Linked DNA regions of Coturnix japonica. The protein of the gene in region 2 interacts with the protein of the main gene of each other region in a pairwise test. Links are inferred from orthologs where the notes say so. Each region holds a gene or a part of one and is shown on either strand. Other genes may lie near its edges. The genes, in order: RNF14, DACH1, FGF12 and C2H1orf35.

What was found.
Region 1: the proteins of DACH1 (region 2) and RNF14 interact in binary tests that used the Homo sapiens proteins (3 or more experiments, as listed by UniProt). The two-hybrid records come from large-scale screens. The link is inferred for Coturnix japonica from reciprocal best matches to the Homo sapiens genes DACH1 and RNF14.
Region 3: the proteins of DACH1 (region 2) and FGF12 interact in binary tests that used the Homo sapiens proteins (3 or more experiments, as listed by UniProt). The two-hybrid records come from large-scale screens. The link is inferred for Coturnix japonica from reciprocal best matches to the Homo sapiens genes DACH1 and FGF12.
Region 4: the proteins of DACH1 (region 2) and C2H1orf35 interact in binary tests that used the Homo sapiens proteins (3 or more experiments, as listed by UniProt). The two-hybrid records come from large-scale screens. The link is inferred for Coturnix japonica from reciprocal best matches to the Homo sapiens genes DACH1 and C1orf35.

Annotation. Positions count from the first base shown.
Region 1 is NC_029528.1:1,070,913-1,075,236, forward strand, and holds the start of RNF14 (E3 ubiquitin-protein ligase RNF14), read right to left. Parts: upstream 2,841-4,324; 5' UTR 2,726-2,840; intron 1,973-2,725; exon of another isoform or gene 1,839-1,972; 5' UTR 1,830-1,838; coding exon 1,676-1,829; intron 1,192-1,675; coding exon 1,046-1,191; intron 724-1,045; coding exon 202-723; intron 1-201. UniProt on the Homo sapiens protein: E3 ubiquitin-protein ligase that plays a key role in the RNF14-RNF25 translation quality control pathway, a pathway that takes place when a ribosome has stalled during translation, and which promotes ubiquitination and degradation of translation factors on stalled ribosomes.
Region 2 is NC_029516.1:140,895,015-140,898,577, reverse strand, and holds part of DACH1 (dachshund homolog 1), read right to left. Parts: intron 1,213-3,563; coding exon 1,069-1,212; intron 592-1,068; coding exon 523-591; intron 1-522. UniProt on the Homo sapiens protein: Transcription factor that is involved in regulation of organogenesis. Seems to be a regulator of SIX1, SIX6 and probably SIX5.
Region 3 is NC_029524.1:11,608,767-11,612,329, reverse strand, and holds part of FGF12 (fibroblast growth factor 12), read right to left. Parts: intron 607-3,563; coding exon 503-606; intron 1-502. UniProt on the Homo sapiens protein: Involved in nervous system development and function. Involved in the positive regulation of voltage-gated sodium channel activity. Promotes neuronal excitability by elevating the voltage dependence of neuronal sodium channel SCN8A fast inactivation.
Region 4 is NC_029517.1:2,070,632-2,074,674, reverse strand, and holds the start of C2H1orf35 (multiple myeloma tumor-associated protein 2), read right to left. Parts: upstream 2,864-4,043; 5' UTR 2,763-2,863; intron 2,739-2,762; exon of another isoform or gene 2,588-2,738; intron 2,028-2,587; 5' UTR 2,016-2,027; coding exon 1,922-2,015; intron 1,842-1,921; coding exon 1,691-1,841; intron 345-1,690; coding exon 299-344; intron 216-298; coding exon 136-215; intron 44-135; coding exon 1-43. Other genes in the region: MRPL55 (39S ribosomal protein L55, mitochondrial), read right to left, coding at 3,022-3,165, 3,257-3,428, 4,026-4,043.

The DNA.
Region 1 (4,324 bases), on a different chromosome or scaffold from region 2:
ATGACAGTTAAATAACAGGATGAACAAACACGCAGCACCAAATATAACAGGACATCAGTTCAGTGCCACCATTTTGCCAGCAGGCAAAATATGTACCTGATAATCCAGTTATAACCTGGAGGAATCTGTGTGGCTCAGAGAAAGAATTTCCCTGTGTGTATTCGCCATGATAACCCAGACTGGGTTCAGCACAGCCCTTACCTGACCAGGAGTAGCAACAGAAGAACAGTTGGGTTCTGGACAGTTGAGGCAGTGGACCTGCCCATCCCTGATCTGAATTTCAAAGTAGTCCTTCAGGCAGGCTTTGCAGTACACATGGCTGCACTCGGTGAAGTACATACATTCACTGCCCAGCTTCTCACAGAAGCAAATATTGCACATGTACATCTTACTGTTAAAGCACTTCCTTCTCTGAGCCTGATCAAAGTCCAGGATCTCCCGAATCAGGCTGGACAAAGATTCCACGTCCTGTACAGCTCTCTTATCAATTCCTTCTTCAGCCGCAGCACAGCCCACTGCACCAACACAGTCCTTGGCATCCTGAGGCACCGAAGGCGTCCTGCCCCATGTACTCCCTTGTTGGCGCATTTTGAGCTCGTATGGGGATGAAATATTCAGGTAATTCAACGTTTCTTCCTTCAGAAACTGCATCCAGGCAAACAGGACCACACAGCCTCGGTTTTCTTCCCATAAGTTGTCTAAATGCTCACAAAGAGCGCTGAGCTGGGAAAGAGAAACCAGTGCAGACTTCAGTGAGTCCTGGGGACTCGTGACAGCTCCCATGGTGCAAACCTACACCTCAAATTGTGGAACTGATGGGTAATACATAAAAGACATAGAAATAGCGCCTCGTAAGGCACACACTGAACTGTCAGAAGGGTAACCAAGTAAGAACAGCTAGGAAACAAAAGAGCCAAGAAAAAGAGACGTCACCACGTACATCATAACTGCATCTACTATACTGACATCCACCACAGCTAATGGTGTTAATTATACACTCATGACCACAAAAGCTCTGCTATAATGTTAGAACTGATCTGCAAACCTGTGCTGGGGAGAGCCATTTGCTGCTGAGAGTGAAGGCAGGCGGGGAGGATGACGGGTAGTCTGGTGGGAGCTCAAAATTCAGCACGAGTGGAGGCAGAAAGTGAACGGTGTATTCAAAGCTCTGCGGACTCTCTGCAGAAATGCCTGAGCCAATGGAGACAGGGTGAGACATCACAAAGAGGTGAGAACCAAAGGACGGCACACGCGACCCCTCTGTATGTTTGATAGACTTCTCAGTTTAAAGTGATTCATTCAACACCAAATAATGGTGCAGTAAAGTGCCATGAGGTTGTATGGGGTTAAACCAATACACAGCAGTGCTGTGAAATAGCAGATCCTGCAGGAGCCAAGTGCAAGGAAAACACCCCCAGGGGAATAATAAATATATTGACTTGATTACCCCAAAGAAACACCATGACTGAGCTCTGACTTTGAAGCTCTATGGAGAGGCTGCATCCAAAAGGCTGAGTGCCCTCCCCGACACCAACCCCAGCGATGGACACAAGGAGGGGTCCCACACGGCTCCGTCAGGTAAATATCCCTACAGCTCATGGGAGCAGCTGGGGAGGCCCCAGAAAATCACCTGGTCAAAGTGAACGTAAAGACAAGAGCAGCCATCACAACTCACCGCTCACAACAACTCTGAAGTTCTGGGGCAGTTCCAAACAAATCCTGGTCTCTCCTCCCTGTGCCGACTCCGCTCTCTTAAACTCATCTTCATCGTAGATGCTGGCCAGCGCCAACAGCTCGTCCTCCTGAGCTTCTCTGTCCTCTGAAGACATTTAAATGGTCTGTGGAATTAACACCACTCTACAGCATCAACCGAGTTAACGCGTCCCATCCAAACTACACGTCTGGGTCTGTTTTACACCTCCACAGGAAGAGTCAGGACCCAAAGTAAGCAGTGGGAGCATAGGACAGAGTCAGGCTTTGTCTCCGAGTTGAGAAGTGCTGGGAGCTTTATTTACACCATGGGGAACACCCACAGAACGTGGAGGAGGCAAAAAGCAAACGGTGCCCAGCGGCCGAGAGCAGCTGCGGGAACAGCAGAGAGATAAAGGAAAGCGGCAGCGGGACATGGCACGGCGTCTGGAAGGGAGAACGGAGCGGAAGAGAACGGAACCGAGTTAGTGACAGAACGGCTGGAGCAGCGCTCTATAAAGCGATGAGAGAAGCGCCGCAGGTCTCAGCTGGAAGCTCCGAGCCGCGCTGCGTCCGGCAGGAGGCGCCGCAATTCCCCGCACAGCTGCGGATCCGTCCCCAGCCCGGAGCGCGGCACGCACAAATACACGGAGCGCACTGTCAGCGAGCGGGCACGGAGCGGAGGGTCAAAGTCCCCTCAGCACAGACACACGCCGCACCCGGGCGGGTCCGATCGGCACCGCCCGCACCGAGCAGGAACGGAACCGAAGGCAGCCGGGAAGAGAAGCCGCCCGGACACGCTCCGCACGGCACGGCCGGGATACGAGGCCGCAGTGACGGCGCCAGGCGGAGCCGAGGCCGCACGGGGCGCCCGCAGCACCCGGGTCCCGGCGAAGCCGGCACGGCACGGCACAGTACGGCTCGGCACAGTACGGCACAGTACGGCTCGGCACATTACAGCACAGCACGGCACAGCACAGCACAGCACAGTACGGCACGGCACGGCCCGCTCTTCCGGCACGGCTCCCCCCGTTACCTCAGTCTCGTGGCGGCCCGGCGGACGCGGAACGTGGCGCTGCCGGCACCGCGGCGGACGGGAAGGACGGACCGGGAAGGAGCGGCTGAGGGCGGAGGCCCCGACCCGGCCCGGCCCCGCCGCGCTGCTGACAGCGCAGAGCGCCCGGCTCCGCCCGCCCCGCTCCGCGTCCCCACAGCGCCCCCTGCGGCCGGGAGGAACGCGGGGTCCCTCGGCGGGGCCGGTACCGCCCCGCACCATGCGGTCACTGAGCGCACGCGGCCGGGGAAGGCGGCAGGAGCTGCCCCGCATGGACGGGAGCCACGACAACAGCTGCAAAACAGCGCCAGGTGCAGCTGTGCTGCCCCGCCATCAGCTCCGCCCGAACCAACAGCTGCAGCCGGAGCTCAGCTCCACTCCCACCCCAATAACACACCGTAACCCACCCCAATAACGCACCGTAACCCACCCCAATAACGCACCGTAACCCACCCCAATAACACACCGTAACCCACCCCAATAACACACCCGTAGCCCACCCCAATAACACACCCGTAACCCATCCCCGCCTCCTGGAACAGCGGCAATAAGGAGACCGCGCTCACACCCCCCGACACCATCATTACTTCTCCTCACAATCAACGGCTTCAGACAGTCAGAGTCATCCAGTAGAATCCAGTGCATTTATTTCTTCCAACAGCTGAACTGTGTTTCAACGTCAGCTTTAACACATACAAATTCATGTTTGCAAGTTTAATGACAATCAGTACTAGAAGCAAATTACTGCAGAAAACTCATAGAAAATGAAAACGCTTTGTTCCTGGAAAAGAAGAAAACCAAGCATTCCAAATGAAGGCCTCATGGCAGCAAGCACAGCCCTGCAAGGAGTTGGGAAGGCATCAGTCAGCGCTCAGTGCGGGCAGCTGAAACACAGCCCTCCTTCTATGAGCACCCCCCGAGCTGCAGGCAGCGCTCATGTAACTAACCTGGGCGTCTACTTCATGGTTAGAGCACATCCATGGCTGAGCTGTTAGGAGCGTACAGCTGCTATTCTACAGAGCAGGTAAATGAACCTGATTTGGGGCTATCAGTGATGTGATGATGCCCACTAAGGAATAAAGGTAATGGGAACACTAACCACTAACCTCGTGGCAGTATGAGCTGTTCAGGTGCAGGTAAAGATAAACCTAGAGGTGTGTTAATGCTTAAATGCAGGCTAGACTAAGGTAAGCAGATAGAGGATGCTGCAGGCCCTGAGGAGCAGCCTCCCTCCCCATCCCTGTCTCACCATCCTACCATTAGTGGCATTTCCTGATGAGCACTGCTGTGAACAGCATGGAAAACTGGACTACAGCGTTTGCAGTCTCCCTTCTCAAAACAAGACTGACTCAGCATGAACATGCTTTAACATGGAGACAGCTCGTGGCTGCTTCTGCAGGTGCAGTAACAATATCAGAAGCCTCTAGCTACAATCACTATGGCAAGAAATACTGCTGGTCTGACCGAGCAGTTGGCTACCTAAGCATTCTGACTTCAGGCACTGACCAAACCTCTCTGAAGATTACCAAGAGTGCTGTGGTATTTGCTTGCTTCAATCTGTATTCAGAACATACAAAGTTG
Region 2 (3,563 bases):
ATTTGTTTTATTAAACTGTAAATAATGGGATGTGGTAAATGAAAAATCCAGGAAGTGAATAAACAGTTTATTCATCATTAATGCTCACAGTAGCTTATTGAAACACACCTTTCAGGAACTGCCACTGAATATTAGCTATGAAATTCTCATCTTGCCTTGAATGTTACCCATTTGTATAGTTGAAAGGCTCAAATTGTTTTAAATCAGCCTTTAAAAAAAAGTTATCCTAAATGTTATATATTCACAAAAACTGCATTTTGCATGCCTGAGATTAAAGCCTATATTGCTTCAAATTAATTATTCTTCTTTAATTGCAGAAGATAAACAGAAATGACCTATTAATTTAAAGAAAATCTATCGCCACTGAATATATTCTCTCCTATAAAGCAAGATGAACTTGACCTTGTTTGAACTTGTTTTGATGTGGCCCAGATGGTAGGCTACATGCTTGAATAGCATTCTAAAGCTGAGGAAAAACTCATATAGCAAGATCTAGATTTATAGCCTTTTGCAAATTCTTACCTTGTATTGTCCTTTCAGCATCTGTTCTGCCCCCACTGCGGTCAGCTTCTATCTCTGGGGTCAGAGAGTCTAGAAGCATAGAAAGGTAAGACTGACACATATTTCATTTGATTCTTATGGCCCTTTTTACAACCTGTTACTCTAAAGCTGAATTACAATACAATCAACCTTTGTCAGTTTTTTTTAATGTTGAACAATGACTAGAGGCCAGAACAATTTTTTGTTAGACTAGGGAGATTAATGAGCAATAGATTTTTCAAGCATAAAGGTAGGAAGAAAAAGAAGGAGAAAAAAAAAACCAAACCTACGACTTCTCAAGCTAATAATATAAAATAGGCCTAGTTGGGGCATTCTTTCCATGAATTTATTTGCACGTGCTATATAAAGTAACAAAGCAAAAAAGAGAGAGGCATCCCTTGAACAAAAGAAAGAAGAGAGATTTTCCTTTTTTCCCTCTCCCACCATGTTATAGATTTCATACTAACAAGGTTCTTTAGACACTTAAATTGAAAATTAATGACACAGAAGCAAAAGCTGGCTTCTTACCATTTAGGACCCTGAGACTATCTGTTGAAGCTGCTTGTTTCAGTGTCTGTTCTGCTTGCTCCCGTCGTTTAGTCTCAAACTCAAGTGCTTCCTGCAATTTCCTCTTTGCCTTCTTTTCCTTCTTTAACCTTTTCTGAATTATTGCTAGAAGGAAGAAAATCAGTGTACTCAAATTCAGATCTGAAACTTGGCCATGGAATTATGTATTAAGGGTTCCAAGAAACAATACAACTGTAACAGTCCACATAAATTGTGTAATTACACACTATCTATTTAAGCTACCTGAAATTTGCTGGATTCACAGATATTTAAAGAGCCACTTTGCCATGCTGTTTCTTTTAATAAACAGACAAGGATTTGTGAAAGTGTAAGTTGGAAAATCTTGGAACTTATTCCAAATCCTTTATATTAGAAACAAATGGACAGTGCCAGATCCCCAAGCCAAATAATTATTACTTCGCTTTCTCGAATGTAAGGGAAAAGATTAGGAAAGTAATAAATAACAATTCAGTGCAGAAAACCCTTACTTAGAAAATGTTGTTCCTGCTTCTTGTTCACATTCTACAAAGGAAATGGTTGCAGGAATAGGATGTAAATGAATCATATAAGATGATAGGTTTTAAAGAAAATCCATCATGATTTTCTGTTTTATGTTTCCAGACAGTTCCTTCCAAATTAGAACTAAAATAAAACTTGTATGTTCCCTGACTGAAGGAGCATATCAGAGATTATGTCCTCATTGGAAAAGAGTATTGTGAACACTTTTTTTTCCTACTCAGTGAAAGTGATCCACTAAATAAATCATACAAAGTTGTAGATTACACTGTTATCTACTCAACCACACTCCAACCATAGTGTTTTCAGAAACACTCTTGTAAGAGGCTCATTTACTGTAAGATCTACCTGGATAATCCTTTTCTAGAGAATCTGTTATTTTTACACTAACTACAGAAATACCATTACCAAAACCAGATACTAGGTGATACTAGACTTGACTATTAAGTTTTATCTATCTGACTCTTTAACCTTCTCCAAATTAACCACTTGTATCTGGTGTAGTGAGAAATATTGGAAAGGTTCAAAATACGTGCCTATCAGTTCACAGTCTCCATTTTCAATAGTCATAGCTGCAACTTTCACAGAATGCAAATCATTAAATTTTTAAAGAGATCCATCATGATTACTTCTATTTAATGTATATGCTAAGTAAGATCTTTTTGAGCAGTCTTAGATTTATTTATTTTTTCTGTGTTGCTGTACAGAACTGTTTACACACAAAATATGTCTATTACATTAGCGCAAACCCTCTAGTGAGTATAGCTACATCATTAACATGCAAGACTTTGGAATTCTGGCACTTTCTCATTTTGTATAGTGAAACTACTTTCTAGGCATACTATCTTACACTATCAAAGAACAGCTAGTATCTTTACAAATGCTAAACTAAATACATTTTGAATCATTGCACCATTTTAATGTTTTCATTATAAGTACTTTGAAAGTGATTGCAATAAATGAGAAGGAAACATATGTTGCTTTCCAAATTAAAATGTCATCATGGCTGACACATTGTAGATGTGACTACAGCAGTCAGAGCCAGAATTAGCAAGCCCTTACTGTGTAGCTGCTCACAGAAGAGAGATTATCCTACTTTCACTGGTTGATGAGACACATCCTACAGCCTTAGGAATCACTAATTGGAATATTTACAAAGAAGGAAGGAAACAATACAGTAAATAAGCAGCACTGTAGAATACACAGTAGCAGCGGTGGATTTAATGTTCCCCAAAATGACAGTAAATAAATAAATAAATAATAATAATAATAAATCAGATATCCTGCCTGTAGAGATTTTTGACTTGTGTTAACATGACTAGCAAAAGATAGGCATTGATACTGGTTGCCTAATGCTGAAGATCCCATTTGCCTAATGGGCTTTGACCTGCATATGACGGTGTACATATATTTCTGTGCTGCAGCTTTTTAAGGGTATTTCAGCCTTTTCTTACAGAATATTTCTTAAGAGGGATGTAGTATGCTTATCCCATCCTGCTCATGCTTCTATTAAGATGTGAGACTTTCTTTCAGACATGACATTTGGTACTGGTTAAAACTAATGTAAGGCAAAGCCTCCAATGTGCGTTTCAGTCTTTCATTGAAGGATAAATTCCCAAAGTAATCACAAAGTCTTATTTTTTCTCTCCTACTTGGCTTTCTTCATTGTAAAGAATAATATGTTATTTTTACTTTCTTTTGTATGGAAGCATCCACTACCGAAGACAGTCATCCTCATTACATTTGCTTTACTACATTACACTGTTAAGTGCTCATATCCATTCCTCTTTGGTTTGACTCTTTTGCCAGTGCGATATTGTCATTAGAAAGATACATACAAAAGAAGCAGATAATGTATAGTGCAGAAAATAACACTCTCAATTATTTCACTATCCTAACAAAAATAAAGGACTAACACATGCTTTTTCTTGAAATACAAC
Region 3 (3,563 bases), on a different chromosome or scaffold from region 2:
AAAATGCCTCACTTATCTTTTATGTGCATTAAAAAGACCACACAAATACAGGGTAATTCTGCTCCACTGAAGCACTGCCAACAGAACAGTCCAGAACCATTTAAATGAAGTCAGTGTATTACAGTGGATTTACACCTTAGCCATAAGCTGAGTATGACCCATCAGAGCACCAGCTACGATCAGTTTTCTGGGTGCAATTCAAAAGCAATTCCATTCAGTCCATCCCATTTCACAAATATGAAACCAGAATATAACCAGCAAACCACCAAACCTCCTCTACAACGTGACCTACATTAAGTAACTACTCAAAGGAATGCAAAGTATATCTTCACAGGTCAGGAAACATCACCACGAAGCTCCGCAGAGACACTTTGAAGTGAATATTGCACGGCTTTGCAGCAGCTCCCACCATTCCTGCTTTTACAGGCTTTCCAATATGGGACTGCCTCCAAGTCCTCCCTCCCGCTTACAAAATCCAGCCACCATGGGTGCAAGTACTTACTGAGCTGTAGAGATAGCCCTCAGCATTCATGGCAACGTACAGGCCTGCCTTCACCCCTTGGATTGCCACCACACGAAGACCCACAGGAATTAGGTTGAAAAGGGCTGCAGAAAGAAAAGCAAACGTTACTGAGACATCAGCTCGTTTGGCTTCTGCTGCTTCTTGCCCTAGAGCCAACCCACCCCAATGCTGAGTTGGAAACAAATCCTGTTCCAGCTATGTGAAGGATCTGCAGCCATAGCTTTGACTCTGAAAGCAGTTTTTAAAACGGACAGGAGATGCAGAACCTGACACAAGCTCCGCTCCTCATTCAGAAGCAGCACTAGATAGGACAGAACATACGACCTTTCAGAACTCAGTTTTACTGCCATCCAAATGACTAAAGCACTGCAGCCACTTCCTGCCAATTATTTCATACTGCTCGATTTCAAACAGCCCCTGGATCTCAGTGAAAGACCTTTCCCTGTAAGCATACCCATTATGTATGGTCGAGCTTTTGAATTTCTAAGGGGCTCAAAAGAGAGGCCTGTCAGCACTGAACACTCAGGCATTAGCATGCCTTTGTTCCCACTGAGATCTGTAGGACAAGAGCACCCAGGTGCTGCAGGACCTTGTGCTTCAGCACTGGACTCTGCCCTGGGGAGCTCAGGGTGAGGAAAAATGAGCACAGGGTCCAGCAGAAGTGTGGGAATGCTTCATTCGAGGTCTCGGGCCCAGAGGAGACCCAGCAGTAGGCAGAGAGGAGAAGAAGAACTGAGTGACAGAGTACAATGAAGCATTCCCATTTTCCAACTGACTGTAAGGATATAATCCTCAAACTGATTCATTTTATAGACCATTTACAAACTTCTACATATGACACTATAGCAAGCATAGCACAAAGAAGTCTTCCCGTAATGGCTACAAGACAACTCAATGCCAACACTGCTCTCCAAGGAGACCTGTTAGACACACACATGCCAGGTAACATATAGATTTAACTCCATCATGAGATATTTCTCAAGAGCCTCCTTTATGTGAATTACTACAGAAGGGATGAGACAAAAGTGGTTGTTGATCCCCTTTTAAAGAGGAAAACATTTCAAGCAAATATGGAGAGAAAAGTAGTAAAAAAGAAGTAAATTGTTGCTTCCTTGCAAACAGCTGTAGAGATCACAAGAGATCTGTTGAACTCCCAGAAACTGCACAGTTTCTTGCAGTTATAAGCACCATCTTCAATGAAATATCAAAATGTGTGCTTAAGCCTTACACGAATCAGTGCCTACGTTTATGCAGTTTCATAGGAAGCAAGCAGAGGGCTTCAATAGATGCATACAAAGTTCAGTGTAAGTATTGGTCTTTGAACAAGAGTCAAGGAGTGCACTACTCTTACAGTTCCAAGAGGAGACAAACATGCCCCAGTGTAGCTACTGGGCACCAAAGAGCTACATTACAACATAATTCTACAGTTGAGAAGCACAGTAACCAAGGCAAGCCTATATTTCAATCAATTTCGCACTACTGGCAAGGTCTAAAACCCTCTGTAATTAACAAGTCTATTTACAAGCAATTTCCCTTCCCTAATTTTTCCCCCACTGAAAAATGGAGCATGCTACTGCAAATAATGAAGCAAGGTGGGCATCATCATTCTTTCTGTACAGCCAATTTATCTTCCATAGAAAACTTGTGACAGACCATTCAAAGCACTCATTAGGCAGCGGGGTGATAACACCCAGAATTAGTGGGGAGAAGTTCCACCTGGAAGTACCTCCATGTCCAAAACTCTCTTTTCTCCACAAGTGCATGCTAAAAGAGCACACCAATAATCCCACTGCACTGTATGACAGTAGGAAAAGCACTGCCAAGCTCTCTTGGTCCCACAGCTCACAATCATGGCTTGCAGGCATGGCAAAGCATCTCCTACAACATGTTGCAGAGTAGGGAAGCAAGTGGGCAGGCAGGCAAGCTGAAGGGCACGCATCTGACAGAGGTGACTGATGGCCAAAGTAGTTTTATGATGCAAACATTTTCCTCTACTGCAAGCATTTGGGCATTAATCAAAACTCTGCAAGTTCTCAGAACAGTTTCAGCAATCAAATCATTAAAAGTCTCTGAATAAGTTAAAGCCTTTTGTTGTCATTCTTTAAATGAATATTTCATCTTGTTTGTTCTGGAACAGATTTCAAAGCTTGTAAGTTTTCTTACTTTTAAGCCTTATTACAACAATGTAAAAACATGGGAGAAAACCTCAAACAAGCATAGAAGTAAATGTCTCATTTTGTGTCAGGGAAAAAAAAATAAAAAATCCCACTTAACTTGAAATACCAGATACAAGGATGGGGAAGAGGACAACCTGTAGTAGTACCCTATCAACTATTATAATGGACAATTCCACTAGGCTCATGGGAGACCTTATTACTCTATACAACTCCCTGAAAGGAGGTAGGAGTGAGGCATGGACCAGCCTCTTCTCATAGGTAACAGCAAGAGGGAATGGCCTCAAGTTGCACCAGGGGAGGTTCAGGTTGAGTCTAAAGAAAAAAATCCTCTCTGAAAGAGTGGTGAGGCGCTGGCACAGACTGCCCAGGGAGGTCAGGAATCACCACCACTGCAGCTGTTCAAGAATTGTGGAGATGGCACTGAGGGACGTGGTTAGCGGTCAGACTGGATGATCTTAGTGGTCTTTTCCAACATTAATGATTCTATAATTCTACCCTATGGGGTCTGGTGTAATAATAAAAAAACAAAACAGAACACTTTCCTTCTGTTGCAAAAGTTAAATTTTCTATGCCATGTGCAAGCACACAGGATGGACATACTCTTTGGTTTTACATGCAGAAGACAGAAAAAAAATTAAGACATTTCATGCTTCTGCTGATATTGTCATGCATTTTACCATCTTCTCCCACAACCAGAGTTATACCTGTCAGCGCTTATTGATTATAGCACTTTTATCACACTCCACTGCTAAACCCTTTGGCCACAAACACATTGATCACTGCAGTTTATCAGACGCATCACACTTTTTAAACTCTGCATGCTTACTTTATTATGGGTCTAAGCCAACTTATCTACAGAAAAT
Region 4 (4,043 bases), on a different chromosome or scaffold from region 2:
TTCCTTGTCCTCCTTGGAGAGCATCACCCGCCCGGCGCTGCCGCTGGGGGCAGAAATGACACCCATAAAACCCAACATAAACGTTGTGTTTTGTTTTTAAACAGCTGCTCTGAAATGCAGCATTTCAGTGCTCACCTGGAGCTGCCCAAGCCCACCACCCGGTCCATGTCCTCGGCTCGCTCTGTGCTGTCCCGTTTGCAAACCTCAGCCAGGTCCTGTGGGCAAAACATTGAGAGCCCATAGGAACACAGAGCACGGGGGATGTCCTGGCCTATAGGGACAGCGGGGATGGCCTCACCTCCTTGCTGAGGCCTGTGGGCTGCCTCTTCACGTTCTTGTAGCCCCTAGTGACAGAAGCAGGCAGTCACAGCATGGCCCCATTCAGAATGGACACATAAGGATCCTCAAGTCTAAACCCCAGCTCTGCACAGCACCATCCAAACCCCATTTTGGAGTATGAGAGCCCACCATTCCATGCTCAGCATTCCACGCCTACCACTCCATTATACCCAATATTCCATGCCCACCATTCCATGCCCAATGTTCCATGCCCACCATTCCATGCCCATTATTCCATTATGCCCAGTGTTCCATGCCCATTATTCCATCATACCCGCCATTCCATCATGGCCAATGTTCCATCATACCCAATGTTCCATGCCCACCATTCCATCCCCACTATTCCATCATGCCCACCATTCCACGCCCAATGTTCCATGCCCACCATTCCATCATGCTCAGTGTTCAAAGCTCACCATTCCATCATACCCAATGTTCTACGCCCACCATTCCAAGCCTACCATTCCATCATGCCCAATGTTCCATGCCCACCATTTCATGCCCACCATCCCATCATGCCTACCATTCCATGTCCAATGTTCCATGCTCATGATTCCATCGTGCCCAGTGTTCCATGCCCACCATTCCATGCCCATTATTCCAACATGCCCAATGCTCTATGCCCACCATTCCATACCCACTGTTCCATGCCCACTATTCCAAGCCTACCATTCCATCATACTCAATGTTCCATGCCCACCATTCCACACCCACCATTCCATGCCCACCATTCCATCATGCCCAGTGTTCCATACCCACTATTCCATGCCCACCACTCCATCATACTCAATGTTCCATGCCCACCATTCCATGCCCATTATTCCATCATGCCCAATGTTCCACACCTACCATCCCATGCTCACCACTCCATCATACCCAATGTTCCATGCTCACCATTCTATGCCCACCATTCCATCATGCCCACGATTCCATGCCAAGTGTTGCATGCCCATCGTTCCATGCCCATTATTCTATCATGCCCAATGTTCCATGCTCATGACTCCATCATGCCCACTGTTCCATGCCCACTATTCCATGCCCATTATTCTATCATGCCCAATATTCCATGCCTACCATTCCATCATGCCCAATGTTCCATGCCCAGTGTTCCATGCCCACCATTCCAAGCCTACCATTCCATCATGCCCACCATCCCACACCCACCATTCCGTCATGCCCACCGTTCCATGCCCGTGATTCCATCATGCCCAATGTTCCATGCCCGTGATTCCATCATGCCCACTGTTCCATGCCCGTGATTCCATTATGCCTGATGTTCCATGCCCACCACAGTTCAGACTGTCTATTTTTGGGGAGGGTTGTCACAGGGGGTTTGTAGGGAGGTGCTCACAGTGCTGCCATCATGGCCTCCTGCTCAGCCAGGCGCACGGCCGCCAGCTCCTCCTCACGGGACAGCGGGGTGGGCTCCTGCTTGCCCTTGGCGTACCACGTCAGGTCCTTGCCCTTCTGCCAGCGTCCCACCGGTGCCATCAAAGAGTTTCCTGCAGGGATACAACAGCTCCACATTATCCCCAGTCCTTTATCTTCACCCCACACGCAGGGCTGGGGATGAAGGCCTTACCCAGGTAGTTCTCGCGCTGTTTGTCTGTCTTGACGTCTTCCCAGCTGAACTGGTCCTGGCCCCCCCGGACCCCTCCTCGGGATGAGCCGAACATGGTGACGGGGTGCTAAAAGGATGGGCCCTGTTATCATGGCAGAACAGCAGGCTGCCCCTGCAGGGCAATGGGAGGAGGAATGGGGAGGCACAGGGCCACCCCAGCAATGCATTGTGGTGGGATGAGGGAGATGAAGGGTTCCCCTGCAGTGCAATGAGGAAGGAGGGCAGGGAGGTGCCCCCTATTGCAATCCTAAAGCCATAGGAGGTTTTAGGTATCAAGCAGGGGTCACGATGATGCCTTAGTGGTGGGGGCTGGGGGGGGGTTGTAAAGAATAGAGGGGAAGGGTAAAGTATGGGGTGGATTCTACAATGTCTGGAGGTGGAGGAGGGTGCACAGCTTTGGGGAGGGGGGGGGTTACATGATCAGTGGGGTTGGAGTCTGGAGATGGAGGGTTGAATGGGTTTGGGGTAGAGGGGGACTGCAAAGCCTGGACATGAGATCTGTAGTGGGTTGGAGGAAGGCGACTGCATGACCCATTAGGGACACACGGGCTGGCAATGGGCTTGCATAGGTTAGAGAGGGGACACATAGCTTGGCAATGGAGGTCTGAGTGGGTTGGGGGGGGTTACCTGTACTGGCAATGGGTGTCTGTATGAGCTGGGACAGCCCAACGGGGGCTGCACAGCTCGGGGGCACGGGAGGGAGGGGACCGGGGCCGCACACCGGGATCATAGAGACGGTGGAAGGGAAAACGGCCGAACCCGAGACCCCCAAAGCCCGACCCCCCCCAACAACGGCACGCACCTCTCCGGGCCGCGGGGCCCGCGCACTGCAGCCCCTCCCCGGGTGGTACCACCGGGCCCGGAGGGGTGGAGGACGGTACCACCGCAGCGTGGAGGGGGAGAAGAGGAGGGGGGAGGGAAACGGCCCAAAGCAGGCGTAAAATGAGGCAAAACCACCTAAAAACCCTAATAAATCCTTAACAAAATGGCTTTTATTTCTATAGCTGCGTCTGTCAGCTCGGTAAGGAGGCCTTGGTGGGAGGTGACCCCAAATCGGTGCTTTATTTCTTCCAGAATTTCTTGTATTTCTCCAAATCCAGCTCCTCCAATGTCTCCTCCTGCTTGACCCGCAGTTTGCTGGGGAACTGCCGCCTCAGCCGGGCCTTGCGCTCAGCCTCGGGCAACGTGCTGCTATCCAGGGGCAGCTGCAGGGGGAGGGATGGCAGAGGGTGAGGCTGCAGCACCCAAAGCAAAGCACAGCCCTGAGTGCACTCATTGTTGTGTCGAACCTCTTACCATGAGGATCCTTTTGGGCTCCTTGTAGCGGATGTGGATGGTGGAGCCGTCGGTGCGGACCAGCAGCAGCGGGTAGAGGCGGCCGAACACCTGGCGGCGGAGGTGGGTGATGGAGGTGCGGTTGGAGTTGTGGCGGCTGCAGGATGTGTGAAGGCAGCGGGGCTGCAGGGCACTGCAAGAGGGAAAGCAGTCATGGAGCTGTAGCGTTATTTGAGCTGGAAGGGAACTGTAAGGGTTGCAGAATCATAGAATCATTGAATGGCCTGGGTTGAAAAGGCCCATGATGCTCATCCTATTCCAACCCCCTGCTGTGTGCAGGGTCACCAACCAGCAGCCCAGGCTGCCCAGAGCCACATCCAGCCTGGCCTTGAATGCCTGCAGGGATGGGGCATCCACAGCCTCCTTGGGCAACCTGTGCCTCACTGCCCCATTGCCATCTGCACACAGCATTCCAGGTGAGGTCTCACAGCACAAGAGCAGAGCAATACTTGGTATCCAGATAACCAACAAACTGCCCTTGGACGGGTTTTCAAAGAGGCCTTGAAGGGCACATTAATTAGATGGGACACTGGAGAACAGAGTTTCCTGCCTGAATTTGATCTGTGGGAAAGCACCAAGCACCAGGGCCTGGACTACCCCAAAATACATAGTGTCCCCAACTACATAGTGTATCTCCTGAGTGTGTGAGGGTTGATTACCACAGGGCAGGTGATGAACCCGCTCTTCAGACCCCACACTGGGGCTCCCAATGGCCGAGCATCGCTCTCACCTCAGCGCTCTCCACACA